Drosophila melanogaster: one gene and its partners. The protein of the gene in region 2 interacts with the protein of the main gene of each other region in a pairwise test. Each region holds a gene or a part of one and is shown on either strand. Other genes may lie near its edges.

Evidence for each region. Proteins that work in one complex are often made in the same cells at the same time.
Region 1: the proteins of gt (region 2) and NfI interact in a two-hybrid assay, tested with the Drosophila melanogaster proteins (one large-scale study listed by BioGRID).
Region 3: the proteins of gt (region 2) and Cpr50Ca interact in a two-hybrid assay, tested with the Drosophila melanogaster proteins (one large-scale study listed by BioGRID).

What each region holds. Positions count from the first base shown.
Region 1 is NC_004353.4:273,318-277,952, forward strand, and holds the start of NfI (nuclear factor I), read right to left. Parts: upstream 3,053-4,635; 5' UTR 2,974-3,052; intron 2,403-2,973; 5' UTR 2,344-2,402; coding exon 2,263-2,343; intron 600-2,262; coding exon 444-599; intron 396-443; coding exon 1-395.
Region 2 is NC_004354.4:2,426,595-2,430,667, forward strand, and holds gt (giant), read right to left. Parts: upstream 2,374-4,073; 5' UTR 2,259-2,373; coding exon 2,207-2,258; intron 2,132-2,206; coding exon 837-2,131; 3' UTR 519-836; downstream 1-518. UniProt on the Drosophila melanogaster protein: Represses the expression of both the krueppel and knirps segmentation gap genes. Binds, in vitro, to the krueppel regulatory elements CD1 and CD2. It is required in the early embryo for the development of portions of the head and abdomen.
Region 3 is NT_033778.4:13,768,226-13,772,966, reverse strand, and holds the start of Cpr50Ca (cuticular protein 50Ca), read right to left. Parts: upstream 3,053-4,741; 5' UTR 2,994-3,052; intron 2,202-2,993; 5' UTR 1,993-2,201; coding exon 1,951-1,992; intron 1-1,950.

The sequences.
Region 1 (4,635 bases), on a different chromosome or scaffold from region 2:
TTTGTATTGTTAATTGAATTATGAGTATTTATAAAGTTGGCCAAGTACAAGTCCAATTCCCGAACAGACACGTTAATGTGGTACGGATTTACACATAATCCTGGATGTAAACATTCCGGATTTTTTTCTAACCGCTCACCATCTGTGCTTTCTAATGGAATCGCCTTGAAGAGTATAACCATGACCAAATCAAGCCGCCATACTTTGTCAGCCTGTCTTAAGCAGTCAATTCGTCTCATTTTTCCCTTTTGATCGGGGTTTGAGAGAACACAAATTGATTTTCTTTTCCCGATTATAGATTGCACAAAATCCTCTCGACTTTCTTGTGTAATGTCTTTTCTGAGTTTTCCAAGAAGACGGGAAGCCCACTTTTGCTTCACCTCAGTCTTTTCATTCTAAAAAAAACGATTTTATACTTTTGTAAAAATTGTTTGTATTAATACCTGGAGTTCATCTTTACAATGTCTTTCTTCTTCCAGTGACATACGTTTTTCATGTTTCTTATAATATTTTCGTTTGGCGGCTTGCAAATTAAACCAAGAGTAGGAAAATGATTTGACGTACGGTAAGAGTGCCTCAATAAAAGGGTGAAATTCATCCTATATGTAAAAAAGGCATTTAATTAGTTACTGATCTTAAATAATTTTACATGTCTAAGTGCATATAACTTAATGTACTTTGTATATTAACAATAAGCTTAATACGGATTTAAGGACCATAGAACAGAGACTTAAAAGTCCCTAATTGCCTCTAACTGTAATAAGTTTTAAATACTTGACAATCCCAAAGATAGGTGAGGTATGTTATAGTTGTAGTTAGAGTTCTAAAGTGCAAAACAAGGAATGCTTAAAAAATCGACAAAAATTTACAAATAAAAACCATTTGCACCACCTTATGTATATATACAAAAAACTACGTATTCCATCATTCCTGATGGTACTAAAAATTATATTATATTTTTGTTTAAAAATATATTTCGATTAAAAGTGCAATTGTGAAATTGTCACATTTTTTTAAACAAATCAAGAAATTTATAAATATTATGTGCTTATACTTGCCAAATACAAAACATAAAGATGTCGCTAAATTTTTGCAAAAAACTGACTGATCTTTGCGTTTCAAAATTTAAAGAGCACCTAAACAGAATGGCAATAAAACAACAAAATGCTACGACCTTTTTTGTCAGCTTCTATCCCTTTTGTCATTTGCTTTGTTGTAAGTAACGATTGTTTAAAATGTGCTTGCCCTTCTAACATATGTGTGAACACAAACGTACACATTTTTTGAGAAAAAAGTTCATATATACATAAATGTATATATATGGTCTTGATCTTTTTAAAATATTAGTTGGATGTACGTGCGTACACATACATATGTTTGAAAATTTATATTAATATTCATAGTTTTAATAAGAGTATATCTAATATTAAAATATAACTGAAAGGATGAAAAGATTCTACAGAGTCTGTGTATAAACAGAACAGGGTTCGTTGTACCCGAATATGCACGATGGGGTTTTTATTTTCCTTTACGTATCCAAATGAGTACATCTAAAAGCAGTACGTTTGGGCGCTCTACGACGCCATCTATTCAATGCTTCAAGCCAGCTTCTTAGCTGTGGGAAAAAATTGTAACGTTGTTTGTGGAAAATGAAGCACTCTGTAATACTGCTTTTCCTGGATATGTTCACAAACTTCCGACTGGGTGGGATATGATATGGGATATCAAACGAATTAGAAAACAAGTATACTGTGTATATACGTACGTATATGTACAAATAAATGTAAATAGTGTTCTGTGAATAATTTCCCTACTTTTCCACATTTTTTTATTTCGTTCTAATGTTGATAAAAACAATGTTTCGAATTTATTCATAATATGACGGGATTCATTTTTAATGTACATACATTGCGGTTGCGGTTTCAACCCTTTTAGTTTAGTTTTAGTTTGTTATTTATATGTGAAATTTCCATTACTATTTAGAAGGCAAACTAATTATTATAATTTAACTCAAGAAATATAGAAGGTCTGATATTAAAAAGCATGCGAATTATTCCGATTAAGAAAAAACTATATTTGTACCTATCGTGATAAATTTGGTCTTGTAAAATTTAAAATATACGTATTCGAGAGCATAACTTAGTTCTCTTCAAATTATCTCACTGTTAATCGCATCTATCTTACTAAATAACTTACAGACTTTTTCGATTAAGCATCACTATTTTTCGTAAAAACCTAAAAAAGGTACCGACGGCGCTTTACCTGTCCCGATGATGATGTTTGCAAATAAGAAGAAACGTCCGTCTCGATCATACAGCCTCTTAAAGTTTCTGGTATAAACATACCTCAGGTATTGTTACTTTCATTGAATCGTTTATTGCATTGTCTATATCGAACGTAGTCTAAAGTGAATCAAAAAATGTATTGAGTTTAGGTAGTATTGCTGTGTATTTTATTATATAAATATAATTAATGTTCCTAGCAATATTTTCAACGCCCGTCTAACGCCCACAAATTCGAAAAACCTGTAAAAGATCCAGCGAGTAACTGCCAAGCAATTAATTTAACCACCGGTACGGATTCCTCCCAACTTACATGTCTTTATCTCCGTTAAAGGCCCTTCAGCTGAGTAACGCATATCTGAGGTATCGATGTACTCGGCTATTACTGTCGGGACAATCCGCAAAAAAGTTACCGAGAATCACATAAGAAGTAAACTTTCTCATGTGCTTACGCACAATAATGTATAGAGAATTAAGTCGTCCGCTCGTCTTTAAAGTTATTAAACTACAACCTGTAATACTATCTAAAAATGCAACTGTAATTTGTTTTCTTTAAGTAAACTAGTAGTATGAATGGTATTCTACCATAATATTTTAATAAAGTCCTTCTTAAAGTTAAGTCAGTTCTAAGACCTCGCGGGTTTTAATTATGTGAAAAACACAATTTCATATTTTTTTTGTTAACACTTACATGTATATAAAGGCAATTTCTAGTACACGGAACAATAACTGAGTAGCTGTGTTATGCAAAACTTGTGCTTATAGACTAAATTTAAAATGGGCAAATCACAGATGACTTCTTGGATTTTTGTTCTCGTCAACTGTTATTCTCTTTGAGAGACATACATATGTGCATGAATCCAAATTAATCAACAAATACATAAGCGACCCAAAGGGCCCGAGCGAACCAAACGTTCTAAAAATGGATACTAGTGCTCTGAGAGACTGGAACTAAACGAGAGAGCTCATTGAAATTCGAAATGCGCATGTGACACGCAACTACAGTAAAAATTCAACATGTCAGAAATATCTACCAAGCCCAATAGCTTGATGACAATATTAATTCGCCTAACTAAAAGGAACTCGGAAGTTTTTATATTAAAAAACACATTTTATGGCAAAAACTATAGATCAATCAAGGTGTGAATGCACAAAATTTTTTTTAAAAAATACTATATTAGTTTAAAATTAAGCAACATGTACAAAGAACAGTTCCCTATTCCATAAGAAAGGAAATGGCCGTATCCGTTTAGAAGGTTGATTTTAAGTACGTAGTTTCTTAGAATGTCGAATTTGTGCAAGTTCGTTTCCGAAGATTCCACTCCTCCTCTGAAGTCCTAAAAAGGTTTTTTGTTTGTTGAAATTAGTCAATATGGCGAAATAAATTTTTTGGTCATCGAGTTCAAAGACTCTCAGATTCCAGTAATTAATTTTTCTGGAATATCGATAGAAATTGGGGAATGAAATAAAAACATTCAAAAATGGGCGTTAGAGTGCCCAGTGCAAAAACTTGTTTGGCACATTGATGGAAAAGGCGGTTTGTGTGCGTACATTTGGAACATTTGGAATCTTCCTTTCTAATCTCAACTCTCCTGCTTTAATAGTTCCTGAGATCGAAAGACTTCGCCAGATCAACTCGACTATTGATCTTGATCAGTAATACGTTTTTTTTTGTTCGAAACGCTTCCTTCAACATGTTACACACATTTCAACGAACATAGTACACCCCCATATTATAAGTGGTGACCATAAAGGCCTTGGTTATTGGATGAAATGAATGTCAACTTCTTGTAAAAAGAGCGATTTTACCCTATAAACCCGATCAAGACCGATAGACTTTTATTGATTTGGAATAAAGTTTTTCTCGCTTTTGAGATGAAGATATTTTGCGTCGAAATAATTGGATTAAAGAAATCCCAAATGCATTTGGGATGGGATAGTTGACTTCCGCGTCTATCAGATTACGCTTACTGAGGGAGGATAGATAGAGAGGCAGGTTACAGACGGCGAGGGAGGACGAAAAGCGAGACTTCACGAGTGAGGGCAAGGCGGCAGGAAAAGCAAGAAAGCAAGATACAAAGACTGACCTGCACAAACGGAAAAACCGTGGACATTGGAGACGCCGAAGATTAACGTTTAAAGTGGGCCCATTTAAGCATTTCAAAGACTAAATAGCCAGTCATCATGAATCAATTGAAAGGCAGAATCCGGATAGGTACGACACTAGTAAAGACCAAACCATGGCATTGACCCGGCGAGTCCAGTCCTAAAATAAACCCCTGCGCGTGTCAGGACTGTGCTTATGGCCTTGTCAAATGTTTTAGGAATTGATGCCAGGAGCGTTCATAAAAAC
Region 2 (4,073 bases):
GCGAACAGGAATTCCAGGAGGCGACCAACGATTAGTTGGTTTTCAGTAGACACCCGCTACTGAGTATGTTGGCCTGGTACCAAAAATCCAAAATTTGCCACTAAAATGCTAATTTTGTAAGCAAAATTAACAGATTTTCGGCTTAAATTACCAGGCGAACAGGAATTCCAGGAGGCGACCAACGATTAGTTGGTTTTCAGTAGACACCCGCTACTGAGTATGTTGGCCTGGTACCAAAAATCCAAAATTTGCCACTAAAATGCTAATTTTGTAAGCAAAATTAACAGATTTTCGGCTTAAATTACCAGGCGAACAGGAATTCCAGGAGGCGACCAACGATTAGTTGGTTTTCAGTAGACACCCGCTACTGAGTATGTTGGCCTGGTACCAAAAATCCCAAAATTTGCCACAAAAATGCTAATTTTGTAAGCAAAATTAACAGATTTTCGGTTTAAATTACCAGGCGAACAGGAGTTCCAGGAGGCGACCAACGAGAACAGAAATTCCAGGAGATAATTATTTTCGATAATTTATTGAAATTCATTCCTTAGGGCTATGAAAAAAATTCACTTATAAGTTAAACATTAATAGCTAGCTGGGACTTCTACAACTATAGATGATTCCATTGATAGTTAACTGGTGGGATTGCGAGATGCACTACAGCTAATACATTTTCCAAATATAACGTATACTCCAAGGACTTAAAGTACTTAAATGCGAGCGTGTAAAAAAAAAAGAAAGTTGAGCCCCCTAAACTATTCACAGATAAGCTGACCCAAAAACTGGACATACGATTCGGATCCTCGCGTTCAACGCATCAAGAGAGGAGTGGACCTTTAGGCGGTGGTTACTTTGGCGGAGGTGAAGGCGGCCAGCTGGACCTTGAGGGCGTCGATCTGGCACAAGAGCTCGATGTTCTGGCGTTCCAGATAGGCGGCCCTGATGGCGATCTCATCCTCCTTGATGCGGCGGCGATCGCGGGACTTCTTGGCGGCAGCATTGTTCTTGCGACGCCTCTCGTAGTATGCGGCATCCTTAACCTGGCTGCCCGAGCTGATGCCCGAGTTTGCTGCAGTAGCGTTAGCCAAGTTGCTGGAGCTGCTGGTGGCGGACTTGCTCTCGAAGTTGCCCGCCTGGGAGTCACAGTCGCTTGACTCCTCCGCAGCAGCGCGATCCTCGCTTTCGCTGTTGTTGTTTGAGGAGCTGCCTTCGTTGACGGATCCACTTCTTGAGTTGGTCCTTCGCATTTTTGGGTTGGTTACGGTGCGCGATCCTCCGTTGGAGCTGCGGATTTGCTCAAGCACTCGCTTCCGGTATTCCGTGTAGCGCTCCACTCGCGGATTGTCCAAAAGGACATCAGTGGCTGCGAAATTGGCAGCTATGACCAAGGGATCCCGGGGAAAGGCCTTGAAGGGACGGGTGTTCTTTCCCGCCTCGCCGCTGCTGGAGGTGGTTGGCGTGGTGGCCTCAACAGCCGGTGACAGGGGATTCTCCAGAACGTCTATCTGCATGGTGCTGGCGTTGCTGGCGGGTCTTGGTGAGTTGGTCGAAGAAGCGGCAGCAGCAGCGGCGGCCGCAGCAGAGGCGGCAGCAAAGGTTTGCAGAAGGTTAGCGGTTGGTGTAACCTTGGGCGGAGCAGCAGTGGGCGTGGCTTGCTCCTGCTTGATGTTGCTGTAGTAAAAAGCGGGATACAGGGAGGCTAATTGTTGCTGCTGCTGCTGTTGCTGTTGTTGCTGCTGATGTTGCTGCTGTTGCATTTGGGCGGCATACAGAAGATTGCTGGTGGGCGAAGCCGAGGGGGAACCACTGCCGTAGCTATAGCTTGTTTGATACGGCGAGGGAGTCTTCCTGGGTGTCTCTACGCTGTCACATCGACGGGAAAGATCCAGGACCTCTGCAGAGGAGGTATGCTGCTGCTGCAGCTGCTGATGTTGCTGCTGCTGCTGTTGCTGTTGTTGCTGCTGACTGAGGGCAGCTCCCAGCAACTGCTGCTGGTAGGCGTAGGCCGTGTACAGATCCATTTTGGGTAGGCCCAAGGATCCCTGAACCGGCAATTGGCTGTGCGGCAAGTGGTGCAGTGGTTGCTGCTGGTGGTGCTGGTACTGGTGGTGGTGCATCAGGGGCTTGCGATCTGCAAAGATTGAGAGAGAGAGGGGATTTGTTAGTTTACGGATCGAGGAGAAACCAAGGGGCGTGGCCAACTTACCAGTCTTGAGATCGAAGAACTGCCCGGCCATGAGTTTCTCGTGCATTAGCATGGTGTTCGGTGTATGGTCTCTGGGTTTAATCCAACTGATTGACGCTATATAGACTGGTGATCTAGCTCTGATGTTGCTATATCTTCACGCTGACGATGTCGAACGCAAACTGATTTCCTCTCGTCGGAACCCCCTGCATTTATACCGAAAATCCGGAGGCTGCGCCGACGCCTCATTCACATCGAAATGGCGGACACGAGCGGCCAGCCGAAGCGGTACGAAGCAGGTAGGCGGTACAAAGGCCAAAGGGCAAAGGGGTGATTCTGGCTTTGCTTCTGACTCTGTCCCGCTCTGGCCTGTTGCCCTCTCTGTCTCACCGCTTTCGAAAGGGTTTTACAAGGGTGCGGCTGCCCTTTCCCTCATTTGGTTTTCGCAGTTTTCGCAAAAATCATAGTTCTTTGTGCTATTGTTAGTTCGCCATTTAACGTAATTTTAAAAAGAAAGTACAAAGAGTTTTCGAACTTTACGTTTCATCAGTTTCCGCGAAAGGATATGGTTTTTTCTTGGTTTTAATATTCAATGGGAAAAAATAGGAAAATTCGTACCACCTCTGCAGTGCTTTACATTTCGTTTTCATGGAATTGGTTAAAAATATTCATAATCAATATAGAGTTATAAACTTCGGCTCTATTTTCATAGGCGTTCATTGCGATGTTATAAGTCCAAGTTTGAGGAAACCCCAGATTTTTGTATATACCAGCATTGTGCATTTGATTTTTTATTACAATTGTACCTAACTTACTTGCTTTGACATCCAACTGATAAAACCCTTACCCAAAAACCAATCTTAAAAATCTTAAGTTATTAAACCTTTAGATTTAAGTAACTGCTGTATATATTGCTTTCAAATATAAAGAATAAACCGCAATTAAACATCGTAGGCTATTCTCTTCAGCACTGAAATAAACCATACTTCTGAATCTTCTAGAACATTTCGCATATCAAAGACCCCCCGACCGTAGACTATTATAATTACACTCAAATCATACTTTTCTGGCCAGAAAGAGAGGCATCTGGCAGAAGAAAAGAGATGGAATCTAGTTTGTTGATAATAGATGCACAACATCCAAGGGTTGTGATGGCTAAATCCGTTTGTTTTGCGCTTTTGTTTCGAAATCCTTTTGCTGACCAGCCCATCTAGAATCTGTGTATCCATGCGATGGCGAATTCGTTGGATTGTGCGTGACAAATTATGGAAATTAGGACGAGTTCTGGCGTTCTTGCAATTTTCAGCCCTTTTCGGCTGGCGTAATTCGCATCCTTTTCTTATTTCGGCAATGAAAACTCGGCTTCCCGGAATTTTGGCAAGGACACTCGCCAGTCTGCCCATTTGATTCATGACGCCGCCAGCCCGAGGATCGAGAATCGAGAGTCCAGGATCATTGCGACAAGTGGCCGTCCGTGTTGACTGCTCGTGTTTGCCCTCCTCCTTAAACATCCTTGATTCTACGTCCTTTATCCCTTTGGCTTCCGCTGCGGCGTGGGATGTGGGATCCTCGACAAGTTGTTTCACTTTGTTAACTGTTTGTCCTAACGGTCGCCTCGACAGCCAACGGAAGTGGGTAGCGGTACAAAGTTGGCTATCATCCATGGGAAATGTTATGCTAGATACTTACTGCAGCTAATTCGAGGACATAACGTAGTTTAGATTTGTTACGCTGAAATGTTATCAAATCCTATCAACAATACCTACATTATATACTATCTTTCATTCATTCTCTTTTTACAACTGCCCATTCAGGGGGATTGGGTGAATTGCAAATAAAAAGAGGGATCGATCGATGGTAATCAGTAAAAAACCGCGAACTTATCCGC
Region 3 (4,741 bases), on a different chromosome or scaffold from region 2:
TTCTGCGTTTATTTTTTTTTTCGCCCGGAAAAAGTGTCTTTTCATTTCAGATGGGACACGCGCTAGATTCGTTTGAAAACTCAATGCAAAGAAGCGATAAAAATTGTTGCTATTTGCGTTCGTTTCAGTTTGCTCAGTCGGATTTTATGGCATTAGAAGTGCTGCGAAAACTAGTTAACAATTCCTTTACGATCCGCTAAGAGAGGCAAAAGGAGCGAAACTACTACTTCAACTTCTACTCCTACTTCTAATACTACTATCTGCATGGCGTTTTAAAAGTTTTCTTTTGTTTTGACATTATTTGGGAAATTGAAACTGTAATATTTGCAGCGAGAGCTGCGAGAGCTAAAGTTTGATTAAATTACGTTTTTACCATTTGGCTTTCGAGTTTTACAGCTGTTTACAAGTTGTATTTATTGTACTGGCAGTTTAAAAGTGCTGAACTGGCTTTTATTGTACTCGGTTTATTTTTTCAAGACAAATAACCAATAATAAAAGTCAGCATGGCATGGAGGTGATAAACTTGTAAAAGCAATTCAATTAGTTTTGATCATCTTCTGGCTTCTTAGTTACAAGGGAATCAACATCTCAGTGGGCAAACAGAAGGTGTTTTTTGTATCAGCATTCAATTAGTTTTAGAAAAATCATTTATTTTGTGGAAATTCGTTTTGGGTTAATATAAACTAAATCACTATCTTTTGTTTGATTTGATTAAGTTTTGGATTCGTGTATGTTTTTATTTATTTATAATTTTTTCTCTAAAGTTCCATGTCTTTAACCCAATCAATACAAACACATTCCCTCTGGACTTTATTGTTCTCGTTCGCTTTCTTTCATGTCGAGCAGGTTGCTTCATTAAATGGTTTCTGTAATTGCTGTTTGGCCACAAGTTTGTTTAATTGTTGGCTGCAATATGCGCTTACGGCATCGTCTCTTGTTGTATGCAACAAGCCGGAAAAACGTGCCACCCAGACGAGTGGTATGGTGTGGAGTGGAGTGGGCCAAGACCCAGGGCCAAGACTAAGTTCCAGACCAAGAGCAAGACCAAGACGGAGAGCGAGTCGAGACAGCAGAAGAAATGGTAGCAGGCAGGCAAAAGGCACAGCTTGGGCTAATTGTTAATGTGGCAGTGAGATGTGGGTGGTGCAACGTGGGTAGTTACCAACTGCAGTGGCCGTGGCAGTTAGAACCAGTTTGGTCTTTTTTGCCCTGGCCAAAAACCGGCGGCAAAGTCAAGTTCAATGCACATAAAAGACTTTACGGGTCTAGAAAGTGCTGGGGGTACGAGTGCTTCCTGGGCCACAAGGAAACTTGGCTGAAAAGAAATGCCAGCAATGGTCGCAAACTTTTTTTTTTTTTTTTCCATCCACTTAAATTGCAAATTTCCAGTTTCGATTGCAAATGCTGCTGGTGCATTTTCCTTTCGTCCCGGCAGTTGGATATGGATTCCAATGTCGATTCGGTTAGATAACCACAGCGGGCCTTCATAAAGACCGGGGTCATAAAATGGAGAGCGTTTTGGCCAAAAAGCACAAACAATCAATGCCAGTTGCATAACGAATTTTTGAGCAAAGATACTTTGGAATACGCTTTATGATTTTAATGCCTGGTAATTAAACGAAGTCTGGCCAGTATTCGCTGGTTTCCGGGCTAATTGAAGTTCAAGTGCAATGAAAATAAATTGCTTGCGAAATGTGCGTGCGCCAGGAAAATGAGAAGAAGCCCGCCATATGCAGTGACTGGCCGCGTCCATTTCCTGGCCAGAAAATGAAAATCGCTGCATCGAAGGCCGACACTTTTCCCAGGCCCACGCCCAGAAATTTCGCTCGAAGTCTCTCCACTGGCGCTTGTTGTTTTCACGCCTCGATGGCCCTTGCAGTTGTCGGTTATTTATATTAAAATTTCAGAATGATGAACCCGACCCGAAACGAACCGACCCCATGTACTTACCATTAAGGTGGGGATGCCACCGCCGCAGATAGCCATTTCCATTTTCCTTGGATGTCGGCGGAAGTTCGGGCAAATGAGGCGTCAAGTTGCACGTTGCACTTTTCGCGTTTCCACAAAAGTGGCAGCTCAATTTGTAATTGTTGTTGAAATTTCTGTTATTCTCCCACGCTGTTTTTCGCCGTCTTGGTATTTTAAATACAAATTGTAAATGAGTTTGTTCAGCGTTGAACCTTATTGTTTGTTTGTCGGACCTGGAAAAGTATTCGTTCAGTTTGGTTAACTATCACAGCAGCTAATTGCGAAAAGTGCTTTTCAAATTCTCATATTAACTGTTTTAAACATTTCCCCATAATTATGAAACATCATAATTAACAAATTAGTAAAACAAAAATCATTATATGGTACTTTAACAGATGACACATCTGCAAAGGCTGTGTTAAATGAGTACTTTTTAAAACTATGAAGGCAGAAAAATAGTATCCTGCGATTTCAAAAATTCCTGTTCTTAGAAAATCAAATGAATGACAAATGAATGAATTATGTTTAATGAGAATTATTTCTGATCTTATATTCTTTACCAAAATCTTTTTCATTAGTAACTAAGAGATTTTTGAGATAAAACAAGACCATAAAATCTAATTTAACAAATTTAACTATCTAACTAATCGTTTTCGTTATTCGTCCTTAGATGTTTCACTTATAAGTTTCACTTTTGTCATTCAGTAAAATATTCATTAATTTGCTCGACGTTTAACTTGATGCGTTTATATTTTTTTGATTTAATTTATTTTAAGGTATATTATATCCTTGTTAGCCAGCACTTTGGTTAAATGTAATGCAAGCTCTTTATATTTTTTTTTTTTTTACAAAATGATTTTCTCATATCCTTTGCGGAGAAAAGCAAACTTTGACTATATTCATTCAACTTTGTCTTTGAGCTTTGTTTAAACTTGCTCGTCGCAGTCCTCGTTCGTTTCTCATTTATTTAATGCGACTTTTAATTTGAGTTTTCGTTTCGTTTCGTTTCGCTTTGCCTTGTTTACTTTTGGCTGGAAAAACTGTGGAGGAAAACCGCACGCTTGCGCGCTGCTGTTGCAACTGTGCCTCGAATTTTCGCGCCACTTGAGTTTTGTGTGTGTTCGGGGCCGCGCAGTTTTCACGGAGACAGCCGGTTTGTTGTTGGCTCGCTTTTCGCTGCCTCGCTTTTCCCATTTTCCATTTCCATTCCTTTGCCTTTGCCGAAAAGACTCGGCCATGTCTGGCGTATTGCTGTTGCATTTTCCATATTTTTTCTCCTCCTTCTTTTTTTTTTGAATTTTATTTTTTTATGTGTGGGGCATAATAAGCTGCTGATTAAATTTGCAACGCTCAGAAGGAAGTCGAATTTGCAATTTATTCGGGGAAATTCATTTGCATTCCAAATCTGTGGGGATAAATGGAAATTAGACAGGTGCTACGATGCCAAAAATGATTTTACCTATATTAATTGTTACATTTTTTATAAATTCCAATGATTAAGAGTTTATTAAAGTTGTCTTTATATTTGATATATATATTCTTCAAACAGAGCATTTCTTTTTCGACTTTTGAAAATTGAAAACCTCACCACTCACTTGATATTTGTCTTTTAGCTGGCTGCATTTCGAGCTGCTTTTTTGGCCATGGCTTTGGCCAAGGCGTTAGCCAACTTTTGACCATCAACATTTGCACAATATGCGCTGTTGCTGTGCTGATGACAACGAAATGTACAAGTTTTCCTACCATCTGTGTGCATTTTTCTTTATTTTTTACGAGGGCTTAGAGTGCGTGCGTCTGGGGATAAAACTGAGCTCAGTGCCGTCATGGTTGTATAATTAATTTATTAATGGCAACAAGTGAAATGCACTGCCACGCATTTCCTATAAGGCTTGGCCCAGCCTGATTATGTGATTTATAGGAACTTATATATTTATAAGTTTGATATTGATATTTATATTTGATTTATAGAACTTATACCCCTTGGTTGGTGTGATGTGGTGACTGGTGGGTAAGAGAGTGCTAACCCCTGGGAAAGTTCAACTGCAGATATTATGCAACAGGCAACCGCGAGTCACGCACGCGCTGCCGCAAATGAAGTAGCTGACAAATTATCTTTATTTCATTTTATATTATTTTATTGCAGCCCATGGTGGGACTTTAAAGCGGCTTAGAGTGGCGAGGTCGGACTATCTGTTCGAGTGCATCGAAACCTGGGCCAGATGCTGAGCTGATTGGGGATTTTTGGCTATGATTGGTGGTTACCACGGGAAAGAGAGTGAGAGAGAGAGGGGGGGAGGCGGCTTTTGGCACTTTCACATTTGTTTTTGCTGGTGTTGAAATTGAGTTATTAGAGGAGAGCCATGTAAGCGACCAGGGGCGTATACTTAATATTTAAGCAAGGGGGGGGGGGGGGTAATATTCCCAGCTTACTAATGAATACATATAATTTTTATCAATTTTATAAAATCGTTTCTTTTTCATGACCAGAGCTTTCGACATCACTTTCTTTACCCCTTCCGCCGAGAGTCTTAATTCCACACCTCTGGGCACGTTCCTCGGGCAATGTGCCAACCTCCTACCGAAAGCCACATAATTGCTGTAATCGCGGTGGAGATTTGCAATCTCGTAATAAATTCAGACACCGAAGATGCGCCAGAAGTTGGAGGAGCCGCTCCCTCCGGCCGGAAACCCCCATGTGGCCACCAGATGCGTCGCCAGTTGCAGCTGCAATAGGCGGAAATCTCACACAGAAAGTTGCATTGCGGATGCAGTC